Sus scrofa: one gene and its partners. The protein of the gene in region 1 interacts with the protein of each later gene in a pairwise test. Links are inferred from orthologs where the notes say so. Each region holds a gene or a part of one and is shown in the gene's direction. Other genes may lie near its edges.

Evidence for each region.
Region 2: the proteins of SRC (region 1) and VDR interact in a two-hybrid assay, tested with the Homo sapiens proteins (2 studies listed by BioGRID). The link is inferred for Sus scrofa from reciprocal best matches to the Homo sapiens genes SRC and VDR.
Region 3: the proteins of SRC (region 1) and RARA interact in a two-hybrid assay, tested with the Homo sapiens proteins (2 studies listed by BioGRID). The link is inferred for Sus scrofa from reciprocal best matches to the Homo sapiens genes SRC and RARA.

The regions. Positions count from the first base shown.
Region 1 is NC_010459.5:40,469,635-40,473,895, forward strand, and holds the start of SRC (proto-oncogene tyrosine-protein kinase Src), read left to right. Parts: upstream 1-1,354; 5' UTR 1,355-1,703; intron 1,704-4,261. UniProt on the Homo sapiens protein: Non-receptor protein tyrosine kinase which is activated following engagement of many different classes of cellular receptors including immune response receptors, integrins and other adhesion receptors, receptor protein tyrosine kinases, G protein-coupled receptors as well as cytokine receptors.
Region 2 is NC_010447.5:78,217,978-78,221,618, reverse strand, and holds part of VDR (vitamin D3 receptor), read left to right. Parts: intron 1-849; coding exon 850-1,034; intron 1,035-1,415; coding exon 1,416-1,536; intron 1,537-3,641.
Region 3 is NC_010454.4:22,082,939-22,087,056, reverse strand, and holds the start of RARA (retinoic acid receptor alpha), read left to right. Parts: upstream 1-1,297; 5' UTR 1,298-1,554; intron 1,555-4,118. UniProt on the Homo sapiens protein: Receptor for retinoic acid. Retinoic acid receptors bind as heterodimers to their target response elements in response to their ligands, all-trans or 9-cis retinoic acid, and regulate gene expression in various biological processes.

The DNA.
Region 1 (4,261 bases):
GATGGCATTTATTTATTATTTGTTTATTTATTTTTTGTCTTTTGTCTTTTTAAGGCCACACCCGCGGCATGTGGAGGTTCCCAGGCTAGGGGTCTAATCGGAGCTGTTGCCGCTGGCCTAGGCCACAGCCACAGCAAGGCCAGATCTGAGCCTCATCTGCGACCAACACCACAGCTCACAGCAACGCCGGATCCCTAACCCACTGAGTGAGGCCAGGGATCAAACCTGCAACTTCGCGGTTCCTAGTAGGATTCTTTTCCGCCGAGCCACAATGGAACTCCAGATGGTGGTATTTAAAGCTGGGTTCGGGCCCTCCCTTCCCCTGTGCTGTAACGTGCGAAGAACCAAGGATACAGCACCCACCCTCAAGAGGGCAGTCCTGAAGCCAGAGGGGGAATAGGTGGTGCAGGAGGCTCTGTAGCTAAACCAGCCTTTCCTCAATGTCCCCTCCTTTCTCTGCTATACTCTCTGCCCCCTGCGTCCAGAGGTCCTCAGCCTCTTCATTTACATGGAAGTATAAGTGCCACTAAACACCTATTTCAGCCCCATCCTAAGTAGGAGTATCTGGACTGGCTGACATTGGATAGGCTGCCTTAGTTTTTTTTCTCTTCTATCCATTAAAAGGAATACATATCTATTAAAATAAACGTTACTCTTTCCCACACTGTCCTTTCTGCTCCAGTCCCCACTTTGGGAAACTCAGGTCAAGGAAACTCAGGTCAAGGCCAGGGTCCAAGGCCTATTTTTTTTTGTTTGTTTTAGGGCCACACCCGCAGCATATAGAAGTTCCCAGGCTAGGGGTCAAATTGGAGCTACAGCTGCTGGCCTACACCACAGCCGCAGCAACGCAGGATCCAAGCCCTGTCTGTGACCTATACCACAGCTCACGGCAACATCTGATCCTTAACCCACTGAGGGAGGCCAGGGATCAAGGATGCTAGACGGATTTGTTTCTGCTGCACCACAACAGGAAATCCCAAGACCTGGTTCTTGTCAGGTGATTCCCTTCTCTGTGCCTCAGTTTCTTTCTCTATAAAATAGGGATAATCTTGGGTCTGCCCAGCCCAGCTGGTTGGTACGAATAGATCATAAAGTTGACCTGAATAGCTTAGCGTGGCACCTGGCAAGGAGTGAGCACTCCATCAGTGCTGCAGTTATTATTATTACTGATAATTTCGGGAGAGGTAGATTTGGGGTAAACAGGGTAGGTGGATTGGGGGCAGTGAGGGTGGGCATTTTCGCGTGAGGGCTGATGGGTGTCCCAAAGGGTAGGGACTCTCTTGGGGCGGGGTGGGGGGCGGGGCTTCCGTGCCCGGTGCCTCCGCCCCCCATTCCCCGCCCGCCCGGACCCCAGGGTTGGGGGGCGGGGGTGGCCCGCGCCTGGGTCTATCCCAGGTCACCGGCGGGGAATCCGTCCCGGCGCGCTTCCTCCTTCCTCCTCCTCCCGGCGGCCTGCCGGGCCCCTCCTCCCTGCTCGCGCGCTCCCTCCCTCCTCTTCCCCTCCCTGAGCCGCCGCCTCCTCCTCCTCCTCCTCCTCCTCCTCCCTCTCCCTTTCTCTCTCGATCTGTCTCTCCCGGCCGGGAATCCATTCCGGCCTGGGAGCCGGAGCGGCCTGGCCGCCGTGTGCCCGAACCCTTGGCCGTCCGGAGGTCCTTCCTCCCGTGCGTCTGCCTGCCGGTGCGTCCGCCTGTCCGCTGGCCCAGGTGAGCGCCCCCCACCCCGCCGCCGGCTCCCGGTCCCCGCCCGAGTGAGGGAGCCCCTGCCCGGGGACCACCCTGGCGTCGGATCGCCGGGCCGCTGGGGCTCCTGGCCCCCCCTTTTCCCCCCACCCACCCCCGGGCCGAGCTGCGATCCAGGAGCGCTGGGCCGGCGCACGGGGACGTGCCTGGTGCGGCCTTTTGTTGTGATGCCTGGGGGTGGGGGGGAGGGGGCTCTGTGGGGGGGCGTAGGGGTCCTGTCTGCGCTGGAACCCCCTCCGGCCCACCTTACCCCTACGGGCCCCTGAGAGCCGCGAGCTGGGCCTGAGCCCCCAGGCCAGGTCTAGGCCAAATCTGAAATCTGAGCCGGTCGGCGCCGCCTCTGGCCGCGGCTGCCCGGCCTGGCGCCCCTAGCCCGGGATGGGAGGTGATGAGGGGGCGGGCGGGGTGGGCCTGGGGGCGCCCGGGAGGGAGTGCTTGGCCAGGGCACCAGGATTTTCCCGTCTTCGTGGGGCTTTGGGTAGGGCCTGGTGCTGACGGCCTGAAAGGGACTGGGCCCGACTGTGCTTGGTTCCTGCTGCCCACAGCCCCCTAGACTTGCCTCTGGGCAGGCCCAGCCGCCTGTGTGCTCAGAAGTTGGCAAAAGTTTTGGGATTTCACCACCAGGCCGGGTCCATCTGCCTGCCCGGGCTGGCATTGGTGGTGGGTTTGAGTCCCAACAGGGACCACCACTTACTTGCCTTGCTGTGTGTCCTCAGGCAACTACCTGACCTCTCTGAGCTCAGAGTCCTCATCAGGCCCAGCTTGGGCCTGGCTGGGTTTACTACTGGGCTGTTGGAAGGATGGGGTGAACAGAAGGGGCTCACCTATAGGGTATCAGTTCAGGCAGACTTGATAGTGGCAAAGCCCTTGTGTGCCCCTGGGTCAGGCCTCCCAGGCTTTAGGGACTCTGTCTCTGGGTCACTAGAGGTGAGTCCAGGCTTAGCCACAGTACAGTTGAGATCAGACTTGATCTCAAGAATGGATCTGGCTGGTCCTGTGCTGACCCTCTTCTGGCCTCCTGGCTGGGGAGACAAAACAGCTGTAGGCTTCTCATCTCATAGGTGACCTGGGCCAAGGGACCGCGCGCCTCTGAGTCCATGTGTGTGCAGTGGGCATCCTCAGGGGAAGAATCTCTGTGCTTCTGCATGTAGGGGCTCGGCATGTAATAGGTGTTCAATAAATGCACACCTTACTGGATGAATTGCCTAAAAAAAGGTGGCTGGGAGGTGAAGTTGTTGGCCCAAGTGGGGTGCATCCCCAGAAGAAGATGGATTGGGTGCCCCCGAAGCCACTCCTAAACCCTTGAGAAAGAAATAGCCCTGAGCACCATTTTGTCCCCCAGCAGCTGTGTGACCTTAGGCAGTACGTGGCTCCCGCTGGCCTCAGTTTTGTTAAGTATAAAATGGGCCAGTGATCATGATCACTGCTGACATCTTCTGAGCGCCTCCTATGAGGGAGGGACTCTCATGTAGCCTCGTTTTGCTGGTGAGAAACCGAGGCTCAGAGAGGGGAAGGGACTTGACCAGGCCCACACAGCTTGAAGCTGGAGTGAGAGCCTCGACCTCAGAATCCCTGGTCTGGCTGCCCATGCACCCTTCCGATGAGGGGGGAGCAGTGGTTTCCCAGTGTGCGAACAGGCAGAGGACAGGGCTGGAAAAGACTATACCGATGAGTGATTGTATGGAAGCCACGCGGCCCTTTTAGTGATGTGGTGATGTGTGTGCCTTGGTGATGTGGTCTTTCCACCCAGGGAAGTGATTTACAGTGTGTCACCTCTCTCAGCTGACTGCCTGCCCAGGCCCTCCTGTGCGGCCCCTGGGGCTTGGCTCCTGAAGGTGTCCCTGCTGCTGGGAGGGCCCTCTCCTCTATGAGCTGCTTATCTGCTCTTGCTCTTTAAGGCTTAGCTCAAAGCCCACCTCTCCCAGGAAGGCCGCCTGGCTTTCTCCCACCTCCCCTAGCCTTTTCCTGGAGCATGAATGATCCCCAGCTCACAGCCAGTTCCTACATTGACTTCTTCCTTGATTGTGACCTGGGATGGAGGTGTTGTCTGGCTCCCCCAAGCCCCAGGAACCGGGGGGAGATGGCTCCGTGTCCTGCTGACATCCCTTGGTCCTCACTGACCCCATTTCCCCAAATCTGCCTGATACAGGCACCGATGATGTTCTAGGAGCTTTGAACTTGGGCCGAGCAGTGTGGGGATGGGTTAGCAGTGGGAGCTGTAGGAGGCATCTGGAGGCTTCCAGGAGGCGGTGATGAGAGGAAGCAGGAGTTTGCTCAACCGAGAAGGGGAGAGCGTGCTCAGCTACTTCCCAGGGCCCCTGGGTTGTGGGGAGTGGTCAGCCTTGGGGGGGTGGGGAGTGGGGGGGTGTCCTTGCTGGGGAATTGTGGACAGGTCCCTGGCTGCCAGGAAAGTTAAGTCTGGAGGGTGAGCTAAGTAGCAAACAAGTTGCCAAATATATTAATATGTAATCACGATGTGATAAGGGCTTAGAGAGAGATGTGAGGCGCAGAGGAATCCCGAA
Region 2 (3,641 bases), on another chromosome or scaffold:
ATCCCAGAACAGTCTGGTGCTCCACCTACACCCACTTTATGAAGGAGGGAACAAAAAAAGGACTTGGAAGAGATCATATGGTCCAAACTTCCATCGTTCCCACTGTGGCTCAACGGGATCAGCAGCGTCTCGGTGGCAGCAGGATGCAACTTAGATCCTCAGCCCTGCACAGTGGGTTAAAGGATTGGAGGTCCCGTTGTGACACAGTGGAAAGGAATCTGACTAGGAGCCATGAGGTTGCGGGTTCGATCCCTGGCCTCGCTCAGTGGATTCAGGATTCGGCGTTGCCATGAGCTGTAGTGTAGGTCGCAGACACAGCTCGGATCTGGCGTTGCTGTGGCTCCGGCATAGGCCGGCGATAACAGCTCCAATTGGACCCCTGGCCTGGGAATCTCCACATGCCGCTGGTGCAGCCCTAAAATAAAACCGAAAAGACAAAAAAAAAAAAGATCTCATGTTGCTGCAGTTGCAGTGTAGGTCACAGCTGCAGTTCAGACCTTATCCTTGGCCTGGGAACCTCATATGCCACAGAGTGGCCCAAAACAAAAAAGAGAGAGATCATATGGTCCAAATGTCTCACTTTAGAAAAAAGCAAACAAAAACCTGCAGAGTTCAGTTTGTCCAGAGTCAGACACCTTGTCCTTGAGATCCCAGGCTCCCCACCGTCCCACCTCCCACATCCTGTTTCCTCCTCTCTGCCGAGCCTGCCTTTCAACGTGCAACACTGATGGTCCATCCGTCTCGTGGCCTTGGCGTCCCCCTCACACCTCGTGCCTTTGCGCCCTGAGGGAGGTTCCACAGAGGCGGTGCAGGCCCGGCCCCCCTGACTCGCCCCTCCCCGCCCCACAGTCATCCTGACGGACGAGGAGGTGCAGCGCAAGCGGGAGATGATCCTCAAGCGGAAGGAGGAGGAGGCCTTGAAGGACAGTCTGCGGCCTAAGCTGTCGGAGGAGCAGCAGCGCATCATCGCCATCCTGCTGGACGCCCACCACAAGACCTATGACCCCACCTATGCTGACTTCGGCCAGTTCCGGGTACGTCCACCCGCTGGCCGGGAGCATGAGCAGGGCTGGCAAGTGGGCTAGAGGGCAGGGGGATCCCCGCACAAAACCTGGGAAGGGGAGTTCCCGTTGTGGCTCAGTGGTGATGAACCTGATTCGTACCCATGAGGACGTGGGTTCAATCCCTGGCCAGGCTCCGTGGGTTCAGGAGCTGCGGTGTAGGTCGCAGACGCCGCTCAGATCCCACGTTGCTGTGGCTGTGGCATAGGCCAGTGACTACAGCTCCAATTCGACCCCTAGCCTGGGGACCCCTCCCATAGACCCTCCGTGAAACCAATCCTGTCGGAGGTCAGAGCTGAGGCAGGAAGGGGGCCTCCAAATACGAGCTTCTGACACTCTACCTCTCCCTTCCAGCCTCCGGTTCGCGGGGATGAGGAGGAAGGGACCCTCCCCTCCAGGTCTTCCTCCGCGCATGCGCCCAGCTTCTCCGGAAGCTCGTCCTCTTCCTGCTCAGATCAATACACCTCCTCTCCAGGTAAGTGGGGCTACCGCCCCCTCCCCAAGAGCCCGGAGCTTCCCCAGACCCCTGACCTTGGCTGCGGCTGGATGGGCAGCACTCTGTGCTGTGCGGCGTCCTCAGAACAACCTCTTTTTAATGCACACGAGGGTCCACACTGAGGACACTGAGGAAGAGGCCAAGCTGTGGTGGTGGTGGGGGGTCTGCCTGTAGAGTCAATTTGCTTTCCTCTAAGCCAGCCTTCTGCCCCTGGCTCCTTCCCTGGGAGCGACCTGGTTCCTCTAAATGGTATTTTGAGCCTGGGCCTTTGGGGTTTTTCTTTTGTTTGGTGTTTGGTTTTGTTTTCCCCAGTTTTCTTGAGATGTCACTGACATAACATTGTGTAAGTTTAAGGTGTACGATATAATGATTTGATAGAAGTATACATTGCAAAATGATTGCCACAGTAAGTTTAGTTAATCTCACATAGTTACAAAGATTTTTATTTTATTTCCTTTTCGGCCATGCATGAGCCAAGGGCAAGTTCCTGAGCCAGGGATCGAACCCATACTACAGTAGCGACAACGCCAGATCCTTAACCCACTGAGCCACCAGGGAACTCCTACAAAGTTGTTTTTTTTTTCTCCTCTGTGATAACTTAGAGATGTACTCCCTTAGCAACCTTCAAATATAATAAACTGTATTGTTAACTACAGTCATCAGACCCTGTGTCTTTGCAGAGTGAAACTTGGCATGGAAGGAGATGTGGATCCCACCGCAGCCCATCTTCCCCTCAATCCCCGGGGGGGCCAGTAAGGCCCTGGATGACCTATTCCTTCTAGTTCATCTTTGCTTTTTTCTTATGGTCCTTTTCTGCCTTCCTCTTTATCTTCCTGCCTTACCAGCTGCCCTTGCCTTCATCCTTCACCCAACCCAACTGCCCTTTGCTTGGGGCCTGTGGGAGGGCAGGAATGGAAAAGCCCCCTCCCTTCTATGGAACTAGAACCCTCAGACAGGGTACTTCTCGGTTCATTTATGGGTCTGTGCCCGGATCCAGAGTAGGTGGGAAGGGTCCATGCACCAGGTGGACAGAGATGGCAGAGGAGCTGGTTGTCATGTCCACTCACCTGCACTACCACCACACGGGTAACTCATCCTCTGAGCCCCTCACCTTGTAGAAACCTCTCCCCAGTGTTAATTTTCTCAACCCACCTTCCTGCTCCTTTTACTTGCTGGTATATTCATTTTAATCAATGAGGGCCAGTCTGCATGTGATACATTGGTCTGTACTTCAACTTTTAATGGTTTTATTTAGAAGTTTTGACTCCCTCTCATTGGTTAATTTGAGGAGCTCCCCCCTCCGCCATGGTATGTTCAATGTAGCATATGTTTATTTAAAAATTCAAACTAATTAACATTTTTTATTTTTTTAATTATTATATGAAGGTAATACATGTTCATTATAGACATTCAGAAAATAGAAACTAAATTATGTAGATTACATATATTATATAATCTTTCATCACACCACCCCAAAATAATCACTACTGACACTACGATATATCTTTTTCCCAAGTTTTAATACATATGTATATTCAGAAATGGAATCATGCCATACTTAGCCTGCCAACTTGCTTTTTTCTCTTAATAGTGTATTATGTCATATTTTCATGCCATCCACTACACGCCTAGAGTATAATTTTTAAAGACTGCTTAGTATTCTGCAGTATAATGTACAATAACATATCTAAATCTCCTCTCCTTGGATACGTGGATTTTTCTTTTTCCCAGCTTGTTATTAAGTGAACAGCATGCTGGTGGCTAAATATTTGCACTTGCTCTGAACTTTTCCTTGTGCTGAATTCATGGAAGTAGGATTACTGGTCATAGTGTGTACATAGTTGTAGGCTTTGGACCCTCATGGTCCAATAACTTTCCAGATTACTTACACAAATTTATGCCTCCTTTAGTACACCAGCACTGCACAAGGATTGCCTGATTCCCTGCATCTTTACAAATACTGGTATCAACATTGAAAGGAACTTGTGGAGTTCCTGCTGTGGCACAGTGGGTTATGAATCCAACTGCAGCGGCTTGCAGAGGTGTGAACTGGCACAGTGGGTTAAAGGGTCCAGCATGGCTGC
Region 3 (4,118 bases), on another chromosome or scaffold:
ATACCTCAATCCTAGGCAGGGCCGTGCAGCCGGTGCCGGTGCGATCGTGGGCTACACCCGTGTCCACTCCCAGCCTCGGGTCCCTTGTCTGTAAAGCAGGGGCCGTCGGGCCGATGGGTTTGAGAGCTCTGCCAGTCGGGTCAGGCTGAGAGCCTCCTCACTGGGGTGGACGCCTGAGAGTGTGGCACTTCCCCTTCCAGTGGGAAGTCCTGTGGGGGGCACTTGTGGCCACTTCTCCGACCAGGAAAGGGGAGGGGTGTTCCCTACTGATTCCTCTTCCTCCTCCCCGCCCCCCACCCCAGTAGATGGGGAGATGGTCCTTCCAAATGGAGCCACAGGCTGGGAGGGGAATTGTGGCTCTGCTGGGGGTTGAGGTCTCCGCAGAGAGAATGATTCAGATCCTGCCCCGCTAGAACAAGAACGCGAGCTTTCCTGGCTCCTCAGCCTGGGCCAGGAAAAAGAAGCTGGAGACTGAGTCCCTTGCATGTACGAGTGCTCCTGGGCGCCCCCTACTCGGCTCTTGAAAGATCCACGAGCCGCTGTCCATTGGGGGTAAGGGAACTAGGGATCGCTGAGGGGTACGGTTGGGCCGAAGGTCCTCCGACCCACTCGAGCCGGAGAGGTTATTTGGCGGGAGAGGCGAGGAGGTGTGCCTGAGGGCCGTCTACCTGCTCTGGCACTCCTTTTTTTGCCGGTAAGAAAATTAAGATTCAGAGAAAAGAAAGAGACTTGTTCAAGGTCACACAGCTCTCAGTTCCAAGGGGTTCCTCGAGGAAGATTATAATTATGGGAGTCTAGGGGCTTGACAGCTAGGGGCGGAGTCACTGTATTCACTTCCATATTACGTTGCCGCCTCTCTAACCCCGGCTTAGGTGCCATCAGGGTGTGTGTGTGTGTGTGTGTGTAACCCCGACTTAGGTGCAAGAGGTTGTGTGTGTGTGTGTGTGTGTCTGTGTAACCCCGGCTTAGGTGCAAGAGGTGTGTGTGTGTGAGATACTTGCCCCTGTGAGTGTGGGTGTGTGTGGTCGGAGGGAAGGGAGTGTGATACCACACATTGCCGTCCCTTCTCCACTGAGCCTTCTTTCCGTTCTTCGCGCAGAACTTCTTCGCCTCCTCGCCCTGAGTCTCTCCTTTGGGGGCAGAGGGAGGGATTCTCCCAGATTCCCACGGTCCAGCTTCTGCTAGGCGCGGCTCCTTTAAGACTCACCCTTTCCCTGGGTCTATTAGGGAGAAAGGGGGGCGTGATCTTGTGGGCCCGCCCCTGGATGGTGATTGGTCTGTGGGAGGACGGGGGCGGACCGGAGGTTGAGGGCCTCCCCGCGGCTCGGTACCCTCCGCCCCCCCAGTCTGGGGCTCCGGGTAAAGTTTCAGCCTCCGCACGTGACTCGCCATGGCCGCTGCTTTCGCCCCGCGCCCCTGAGCCGCGGCCCCCCCCAACTGGTCGTCTCCCTGGACCCCGCAACCCCTGACGCGGAGCGGCTCCAAGGCGCAGGGTCAGGGCAGACGCTGTGCCCGCGGGCGACCGGGACGGATTGCGTCCCCCCCCACTGCGAGGTAACCTCTCCCCCCGGGGATTTTGGAGAGCCCCGGGCCCTCGCAGGCATCGTCGCCCCTCGGTCTGCTGCTGATAGGACCCGCGGGGTGGAAGAGACCCAGTGCCGGGCGGGTTCGGACGGCCACCTGGGGTTTCCTGGGCTTCCCAACCCGCCGCCGCCGTGCTCGGGGTGGGGGAGCCCCGTCTGTGAGTCTGTCTGCGCCCGTGTCTTCGCGCGCAGCCGTGAGGCGTCTGGGGCCGTCTGCCGCGCGTGTCTCAGGCGTCCGAGCTGTGGCAGAACCGCCGCTGGGAACTCCTGCTCTCTCTCGCTTTTTCTCTTCACAAACAAACAAAACAAAAAGATTTTCAAACCTGTTTGGGGAGAGATCAGATGCCCAACGGACTAGCCCCCTCCTTCTTTCCCTGCTGTTATCTGAGCCGCCCTGTGGTTTGGGGAGAATCAGCCCGGGGGCCCACCCCATCTGAGGCAGCCAGTTGGGAGGCGGGGCCCATTCAGCTGGTGTCCCCCGTGGAGTGCGGGGAGCCGTCAGAATTGGGTACGGGGAGCCAGTGCAGCCAGGGGAGGGATGTCTCTGGGTTTGTAGGCACCATGGGGTTGTGGAAGCTTGTGGGGGTATGAGAAGGATGGAATAGATTGGTTGTCTTGGTTCTGCCCAGGGTGTCTGGGACCTGGTGCCACCCACGAGGTGGAGAAGCTGCTAGCCAGATGTGTATGTGGGAGGGGGAAGCTGGAAAATCTGCTTGGCAGTGCCCTTTCTCCTCTCCGGGCATGGCCCTGTTGTCGGGTTGCTCTGGGGGAAGGGGGCCGTGCACTAGGCTGGAGATGAGAACCAGCTCATGTGGAAATCATACAAGAAAAGCCCCCAGTCTTGGAGACACTTGTCCACTGTCCAGCCTACCTTGGATAGCATGCCTTTGTGCTGGCGTGGAGGGGTACCCTGGGCCTCCACCAACTGCCAGCTCCCTCTTCTGTAACCAGATTGCCTTCTGCCTGGGAGACGTGTGCACATGTGTGCCTGTGTGCCTGTGTACCGTGTATGTTGTACCGTGTATGTTCTCAGGGGCCTTGTTCCTGAAAACACTCCCCCACCCCACCCCCACCCCCTGCTTCTTACCCCCAACCCTCACTTCTGCTCCTGACCGCCATCCTCCTCCAGTTTCCTGGTTAGGCGATTCAGTGAAGTCTCTTGTCCGCTTCCCTGGCTGCCTGGCTGCCGTGGTCATGGGCCGGGGTGTTTGGGGGGAAGTGGTTCAGGAAGGACACCAAGTCTTGCTAGGAAATGGGCTCAAGCCCCAGATTCTCCTCCACGGCCTTGTGCTTGATGGGGAGGCTGGGCCGGGGAAGCCCCAGGTGGCAGTGGGGGTGGCTTGGAGCATTGGGGCTTCCCCTGGGAGGGGTGGAGATGAGTCTGGGGGAGGGAACCAGAGAAAGAGTATTTGGAGCAGGAGGGAGCAGGAGGGTGGTGGTTGTGGAGTCAGGGAGTTTGTGGCTTTGAAAGATGTTGGTGCACTGGGAGGGGCGGCGAGGACCTGAGTTCTTCCTGAGTGTCTGGGCCATGTTGGTTCTGAAACAGAGCAGTCACCGTCACTGGGGTCAGACTTTCGTAGGCCTTGGGAGCTCGGGATCTTGGATTTGGAGGGACTTTGAGGGCATGAATAAATGCCCATGAGGTGGTCACCTCAGGACATTCCCTGCCAGACTGGCGAGGGTGAGACAGATGCAGTGGCAGTGCTGAGAAGAACCTGGGCTTGGAACGGCTTAATCCTGGCCACCTCCTCTTATAGCCCCTAAATCCCCATCCTTCTTGTTGACCCTAAATGCCCCTGCCTCCATCTGGGAAACCTCTCTGGACCCCCTCCTACTTGCAGCCATGTGGCAGCCTGGCAGGAAGCTAGCTGTGGGCAGCCCCATCCTGATCACCCCCATGCCTCCCCCGCCGGGCACAGTCACCCACATGTGCCATGACGTGGTTCCTGCCACCCTGTCTATTGTGGGGGAAAGGGCCTTGTCTGCATGGCCCTTCCGGTCTGTTTTGAGGGCATTGACCCAGACCCCAGTTAACTAGCTCCCCTTCCCCTAAATCCTTTGGTCTTGGAAGCTGGACCCCTTCCCCCGCAACTTCTTGCTCAGATCTGAGGGTCTTAGGTGGCGTGGTCCTCAGAACTCTGTGACAGGCTGGGGACTGCCCACAGGTAAAACCTCAGCGTCCAGTTCCCTGTCCTCTGCGTGGCCTGAGCAGGGCAGGACCTAGACGGTGCTGCATGGGTGGGTGTGTTTGGGACTCTGCCGGGTCCATTTAGGAGCACTCTCGGTCCATTTAGGAGCACTCTCGGGGACTGGGGAAGGTCGTGCTGTCCCCGTGAAGAGTAAATGGAGCAAGCAGCACTCGCCCAGCACCCCACGCCCTTGCTGGTAGTGGTGGTTTGGGGAGTGTGGGAAGTTGGCAGGGCCCCTGGCAAGACAGCCAGGATTGTCTTGACTTACTGGGTTTTTGGGAAAAGAGCGTGGCCAATGATACCCTGGTTCCCAGGGCTTTGGCTACCCGTCCTCTCGGCCGCCTGC